2 linked regions of the Caenorhabditis elegans genome follow. The protein of the gene in region 2 interacts with the protein of the main gene of each other region in a pairwise test. Each region holds a gene or a part of one and is shown on either strand. Other genes may lie near its edges.

Region 1 (3,926 bases), on a different chromosome or scaffold from region 2:
CATTCAACTTCCATGTACATCTATTCCTAGGCTCTGACCAGATTCGGACGCCTCCTTCATCACAAGACATGAAATATGTTCCACGAGAACTCCATCCGACGTTCAACACTTGCTTAAGATGACCATCGCAGGAAAATCGCGGAAGTTTCGTTCTCCGCTTGTCAATATCATCCGGAAGTTTTCGATCATTCATGTAGTTGTATTGATCCTGAAGATCCCAAACAACAGCCCGACTATCCTCACTTCCACATGCGATCACATCAGAAACCGGAGAGCAGGCGACTTGGGTATAAAAGTTGTGAATGGTGGCGCCAGTGTAGGAATTAACTGAAAGTTCAAGGTTTTTTGTGTATTGATCGAGAACATGTGTCGGCAACGTGGTTGAAGCACAAGACATGGAATGCCACAAAGTAATGCTTTTATTTGTTTGTGACTTTCTCAATTGATGAGATACCAGAAATTCTACAAAATTGGCTAGTATGGCATGTTCTTCTAGTATTTTTCATTAAATTTAGTGCTAAAATATGGCAAAAAAAATTTGAATTTTCTGATATTAGCTATAATTTTAGTCGAAAAAAATTGAAAAGTGCTCAAAACTTGTCTTGAAAATTACCGGAAAATTCGGCAAACGGCGATTTTTGAGCACTTTTTCAATTGTCCCAGCTAAAAAATAAGCTACTTTCATATGAATCAAATGATTTTTTATACTCTATCACTAAATTTTAATGAAAAAATTTGTAGATTTGCCGCGGCTAAAAAATAAATCTGATTTTCTCTTCTGAGATTTCTACCCAAATTCGATAAACCTTACTCGGTGAAACAGACTCCGATGGAACGGAGTACTCGAAAATTGAAGAATCGGTGCATGACGCAAACAGTCGATTACCAAAACGATCTAATGTCAGACAAGTCACCCCATACGATTTTTTGTTGGATGTGGGAACTTTTAGAATTCTGGCTGGCTGGCCTTCTCCGTTTCTTGTCGGTTTTCGAATATCCCAGACTCGTATTCCACTATCTGCATTTTCTGAAGCACTTGCCACGTGATGCTCATCAAGAAAAAGAACACTTGTCACTTTATAACCTTCTATCGTTTTCGCTTTTGCTTTTGATTTAGGAGTTCCTGATGTTAATACTTTTGATGGTTTTGGATGTGCAGTCTTGTATGTGATAGTTGCCATTCGACAATCTTCTTCCATCTTCTTCACTGTGGATACTCGCATATCCCAGATTTTGACTTGGAAATCACGTCCACCGGTCACAAAAACGTCTGGAATTAAATTTTTATCACGAAAAATTTTTTAAAATATCAAAAACACTTACTAGGATCATCCGGAGCGAAACAGATCGACCGTACAGATCCTTCGTGTCCAAAAAACACTTGGGACTTTCGATCCAACGTAGATTGATTTAAATCCCAACATCGAATAGTAGAATCTCCAGATATTGAAACAATTTGCGATTCCTTTTGGGGAACACCTACAACGTCCATAATTGCACCATCGTGAGCGGGAAAAACTGAAATCTTTTTGATTTTTAAATTCCTCAATCAAGGTATGCTCAGATCACAATAAAGTTGCCGTTCTTCCAAAGGCACTGATCGATCTTGAAACTTGCGAACATCGAAAATTCCTATATTTCCCGGATCATCTCCCATGTACAAAATGTGCTCTTGATTCAAGTGAGGCGAAAACCTGGCTGTTACCCAAGTGTCCTGAAATACTATTTTTATGAAATTATCAGCGTATTCCTCAGCAAAATCTTACGTGATCATCGGTTTCTCCGGCCGGCATAGAATAATGTTTTGATTCTAATTCTTCATATATTGATGATGGATATCGAAGATATCTTTTTCTAGCTTTTGTTGAATGGAGAAAATCCATATTTTATCTGAAAAAAGTGAAATTTAGTTGAGAAAATGATAAAATGGTAGAAAATACTATAAAATGGTAGAAAAAAGAAACCTTTCGAATTCACATTTTTCGCGGATCTTACGACACTCCACTATTGCGCCCGCGTGTTGTTTATCGTAAATCGACACACCTTTTACATATTCTTTCTTTGTGTATGTCTTCGTTTTTCTCTTTAAAATCTGCTGTAAAGCATTGTTTTATTTTATTAATTATGTTAATTTTCAGAAAACTAAAAAAAAAGAAAAATGAACGACGACCTGATCATGCGTAAGAAGCCAGAGCAGATCGAAATGGAATTTCAAGACAGTGGAGAGTCGGCGCTTGTAAAAGTGAGTAAATTCGTAAAATTCGGTGGCATAATTCCAATAAATTTAGAGTACATTACTCAGCAGTCTGCAAAATAGTGAATGGGAGATCGCTGTGAGGAAAGAAGTGAAGAAGTTCTTGGAGGTCAGTTTCGTTCAAACATAATCGCTTAATTCTCATTTTTCAGAAAGCCAGAGATGACGTGAGTGCCAAGGAGGTTTTCGATGCTGTCAAGGATATGGCGAGAAGGGAAATTCCACAAGAAGCAAAGAAGAAGCTCTACGATCAAGTTCTCGAATTCGTCACAACTACTAACAAGAAATGATTCGCTTTTACGAGGAAAGAAATCAACTGTGATCTCATTATATTTTGTAAAATTTCTTCAATAAAAAATTGAACGCAACATGATTCTCATCGGTGTAAATTCCAATAACAGAACGGAGAATTTGAGGAAAAACATGACATGAAATGTTTATTGTTTCTTTTTTGTAAACGAAATCTAAATAAAATAGGTTAAAGGTGCAAAAAAAGGTTAGAGGTGCAAGTATAATACTATTTACAAATTCTCGATAAAACAATGTACATAAGAGTATTCACAATACAATAAGTGAGTCTTCAATGTAGAAATGGGAGCAGTTATTTCATGATGAATCGATTGCAAGGGCGATCCTCGAGACGACGACTCTTCCCAAATCCAAAAATGCGCACACGGTCAAAAGGGCATGTTGCGCTGTAGCAACCCGCCATCTTGACAATCTGATTGATGCAGAAGTCGCACAGAGTATGTCCACAGTCTGAAAATTTGATAGAATTATTGGACTGAAATTGATAAGAGTTCAGCTTAATAATCTATAATCAAGCAAGCATTTAAATCCGTTTATTTACTCACCCATGACACGTGGAATTCTTGTGTTCTCGTCAAACTTCTGGTAGCAGACGAGGCACTCGGAATATGTAGCGAGTCGGGTCTCGCAGTCCAGAAGCTTCTTCTTCAGAACAGCCTGCTCTTTCACAGATTCATGTGTGATGCGATTGAGCTTGAACGTAAGGCGCATCACAGACACCTTCGACTTGTTCGATTCTTCTTGCAATAATCGATGAGCCTCACGACTGGCTTCAAGACTTGCCGTCTCCTTCTTCAACTTCTCATCTTTGGCCTTGAGTTCGGCTGAAGTTTTGGCCAACTTTCTCTCCGTCTCATCTAGTCTTCGTTGAAGAATTCCATCCGTCCTGCTCGACATATTTGACTGAATGCTTCCTCTGACAGACAGGCGCTGGGAATTTTTCAATGCTTGAAGATTGTTCCGCTGATCCTTAATTTCTGCTTCCATCATGCGCATCATGCCAAAAAGTGAGGTCAACTTCGCAATTGCTTCCTCGAAAGTCGATACAAGCGTGGAAGGTGGAGAGCCACTAGACGACATCTTACCTGAAAATTAGAATGAAAAGTAAAAAATCAAAACGCAGATTTGAAGATACTCGGAAAATGGAAACCATATATTTTTTCTGTGCATATATGCACAGAAAAAATAGAAAAATCGAGTGAAACAATTTCTGAAAAAGGCTGTAAACTCCAAAAAAACCAGAAATGCGCCGAAAACACTCAGAAACGCTCAAGAAACTGGAACGCATAAAAATGAAAATCCAAGTTTTGCCGCCAGCCGCAATGGGTCAAGATCAAGATCAAAACACACTTTTTGTTTTTTT
Region 2 (3,926 bases):
TTCGGTTTTTTTTACAAAAAACGCTGTTCTATCGGATTTTATGACTAAAAAATTGAGCTCTTTCGGATTTTTTGAATAAAGAATTATCTTTTTTCCGATTTTATGACTAAAAAACGGTGTTTTTTTCCCGGATTTTTTTCTTAAAATTGAGTTTTTTCGAATTTTTTTACTAAAAAATTGTTTTTTTTTTGGATTTTTTAAACAAAAAAGTTTTTTTTTCGAACATCTGGTAAAAAGCTGTGTTTTTTCTTACTTTTTGAAGAGAAAATTGTGTTTTTTTTCAGTTTTTTTTTGAGCAAAGCTAGTATTTTTAGAATTTCCAAAAATTAATATAAAACCAGGGCTTTTTTTTTGAATTTTTTGAAAAATTTTCACATCAAAAATCAGTATCAGGAGCATGAATAGGGTCTGTTAAAAAATAGAGAAATATTTTATTAATCGTTAAATATTTTCGAGTTCAAAAATGTGTGGAGGTGATCAAACAGAGAAGAAAAATCGATAAGTCTTTTTAAACTTAAAAGAATGCTATTTTACGATTAATATAATATTTTTTCTATTTTCTGACACTAAATTTTAATGGAATACGTCAGAAATAGCTGATTTTTTAAATGTTTTTATTGCAAATTGCCAACCGAAAGCTACGAACCTTCCACGAGATTCGGTCGAACCTCAAGTTCATACTTCCCGCCCTGGCCGAATGCTTTTCGCTGTTCACGCATCTCAATATGATATGATTGAGGATATACATGAAGAATTTGTGACAAATGTTCATTGGAAAAATCCTTTCCAGACGTATTCTTAACATTCTTGATCAACTCAGGAACCACACAGCTTCGATTCTGACCGATAAAGATCGCAGTGATCTGATCGATTCGTTTGAAAGTATCAGCGAGATGTTCATACGCAGTTGGAAGTTCAATCCGTTGACGTGCACTCTCCTTAACTTCATCAATAAGCCGTGAGCTCTTCAGAAACTCTGCAGTCATTCGTTTTCCCTCTTCTTCGTGAGCATCATCCTGCTCTCCGCGAACTTTTTCGGCCGATTTCAGGACATTAAAGCCGGGAATAATATAGTCTGGAACTGGCTTCTTCGGTGAGAACAGATTACGAGCGGCCTTGGATTTCTGAGGTGATTTGTGATGCTCAACAATAACTGGTTTCTTCGGAGATTTCAGCAATTCCACGTGATCATCGACCTGCTTCGTTTTGTTCTTCAAATTTTGCTCATGAATCGCTTTAGCTGCTCCTTTTGCAGCTATTCTTGCTTGTAAATCTGCAACAGTTCGAATTCCAGCCTTCTTTTTCGCTGGGCCGGATGCTTCCATTAGCTTATCGATCGCTGACTTCTGAGGAGCCGGATTTTCCAGAATAATATCTTCATGGATTTTGGGAAGCTCAGGGGCTTCTGCTTCAGCTTCTCTAGCTTTTTTTGGCGGAGTTCCGGAACTCGATAATTCCGCTTGACGGGATGGAGTCCGAGCGCGAGTTCGGGAGGATTTATTCTCGACGATTGGAGCAGCAGGAATTTGTACTTCTTTAATTGTAGTGGTCTTTGTGATGCTTTCATCGATAATCTTCTTTTCTCCTCTTGCTCTCGGTTTTCTGGTGGTCTGAAAAAGAAAAAAAAACATTAAATAATTGCAATTCATAACTTCAAACTCCAATTTACCTTGAAAAAGTCGGTTACAGCAGTCTGCGGAGTCTGGGACCTGGATCTAGTCACCCGGGAACTCATTTTTATCAGGAATAAATAATAATTTCAGCGAAATTATTCGCGAAAACCAAAAAATAAATGGGAGAGACGACAGACAAAGCGTACACTTTGAACAGTCCCGGTTTCCCGCACTTTTTGTCCATTGGAGCGCGTTTGTTGTCCGCTGCGTCTCCACGCTTCGTGCACTCCCTCGCCGCACCGGCATTCATTTTGAATGCTGACAAATCCACGTTTCATGCCGATTTTCTTAATTTTCCGGAATTTATACTATTTTTTGCATATTAAAATTGTGTTCAGAGCGTTTAAAAGTGCTTTTCACCTATTTTAGCGTGTAAAATGCCCAAAATTACCCAAAAATCAGTTTGAGAATGAATGCATTTTACTGTGGAAACCTTCAAAAAATCTTTTTTTTAATGAATAATTATTTAAATTGGCGTGATTCCTATATTTTTTGAAATTTTTTTTTCGTTTTTTCTTCTGAATGAGATATCTTTTGCTCCTAGAACTATAAACTGAACAATTTTGGAAGCGGTGATCCCAGAAATTACAATTTTTCGGTCAAAATTTCCCCAGAAATCGCCCAAAAAATAACGAAATTTCACAATTTCTGCGTATTAAATAGCTAAAATATATTCGTGCATTGTTCCGGGAGTATTTACAATAGCTTTTGCCAGAAATCCCAAAAAAAATGATGCGAAAGCTTAAAAATTGGAATTTCAGCGGGAAAAATTCAACAAATTCAACTACAAAATAACAACTTTTTTCAAAACCCAATTTTTTTCTTTAATTTTTCTTTAGATTTTGGGGATTTTTCCCATTTTTTGAGATTATTTTGCATTTTTCGATTAAAAATCCGTATTTTAAAGGTGGCGTAGTCGAATTTTTTTAAAATTGCTTCATTAGACTCAAAATTGTCTCAAAACACCGAATTTCATGATGAAACTGCTTGAAAACTTCTCAAAAAAAGTTATGACTGCTCAAAAAATGGCCTAAAATTAGTTAAAATTTGAAATTTGACCGACTTGTCAAGCGGCTGGAAACTAACTTTTTTGAAATTACCGTCTAATTTTGAGTATACAATTATATTATCTTGCATTTTCAATTTGATTCAGATATTTTGAAGTCGATGGACGGCGAGATTTTTAAATTTTTTAAACCAAATCTCGCCGTCCATCGACTTTAAAATACCTAAATCGAGTTGAAAACGCAAGATAATTACATTTTATATATACTCAAAATTTGACGGTGATTTCAAAAAAGGTAGTTTTTAGCCGCTTGAAAAGTCGGTCTAATTTCAAATTTTAACTAATTTTAGGCCATTTTTTGAGCAGTCATAACTTTTTTTGAGAAGTTTTCAAGCAGTTTCATCATGAAATTCGGTGTTTTGAGACAATTTTGAGTCTAATGAAGCAATTTTAAAAAAATTCGACTACACCACCTTAAAAAAATAAGTGCAGTAATCTAAATATTAAATTAATTTTCAGCCCATCTCCCCTACACCATGCCAGTTATCAACGTGAAAGACGACGAAGACTTCAGAAATCAGCTTTCCCTCGCTGGTCTCAAGTCAGTGATTGTCGATTTCACTGCAGTCTGGTGCGGACCGTGCAAAATGATTGCTCCAACATTTGAAGCTCTGTCCAATCAATATCTTGGAGCAGTTTTTCTGAAAGTTGATGTGGAGATCTGCGAGAAAACCAGCTCAGAGAACGGTGTCAATTCGATGCCAACGTTCATGGTTTTCCAGAGCGGGTATGGGTCTCATCTGGAATTGGAATAGAAATGCGGGAAATTTGAAGAAATTGCAAAAAAGTGAAGTCTCAGAAATTATTTCATTTTGAATATCTTGAAAATATTGATTTTTGCAGGTTTTACGAGCCAATTTGCAAGAAATTTATGAGTTTCCAAATTAAATTTTTTAAAGATAATCAAAACAGGGCTCTGCCATTTTTAATATGCTATAATCCAACTTTTTGATCTAAAATTGATATAGAAATGTAGAAAAAATTTATGTTCCATCTGAAAATAATATTTATTTTTGTTGAAAATTTTGAAAAAGGCCTCAAATGGTGCGAGGCCTATTTCAAATTTTTCAAAAAAAATAAATAATTTTTTCACATGGAACAGACCTTTTTTAAATTACATTCCTATATAAAGTTTAGATCAAAAAGTTGGATTATAGCATATTGAAAATTGCAGAGCCTTGTTTTGA

What was found.
Region 1: the proteins of cdt-1 (region 2) and cdt-2 interact in a two-hybrid assay, tested with the Caenorhabditis elegans proteins (one study listed by BioGRID).

Annotation. Positions count from the first base shown.
Region 1 is NC_003283.11:14,989,030-14,992,955, forward strand, and holds the start of cdt-2 (WD_REPEATS_REGION domain-containing protein), read right to left. Parts: upstream 2,098-3,926; 5' UTR 1,965-2,097; intron 1,891-1,964; 5' UTR 1,884-1,890; coding exon 1,767-1,883; intron 1,715-1,766; coding exon 1,570-1,714; intron 1,519-1,569; coding exon 1,324-1,518; intron 1,271-1,323; coding exon 812-1,270; intron 328-811; coding exon 1-327. Other genes in the region: T01C3.2 (Transcription and mRNA export factor ENY2), read left to right, coding at 2,159-2,242, 2,289-2,363, 2,407-2,544; T01C3.3 (RING-type domain-containing protein), read right to left, coding at 2,856-3,013, 3,109-3,643.
Region 2 is NC_003279.8:3,226,233-3,230,158, forward strand, and holds the start of cdt-1 (CDT1 Geminin-binding domain-containing protein), read right to left. Parts: upstream 1,873-3,926; 5' UTR 1,736-1,872; coding exon 1,670-1,735; intron 1,611-1,669; coding exon 647-1,610; intron 1-646. Other genes in the region: txl-1 (Thioredoxin-like protein), read left to right, coding at 3,216-3,466.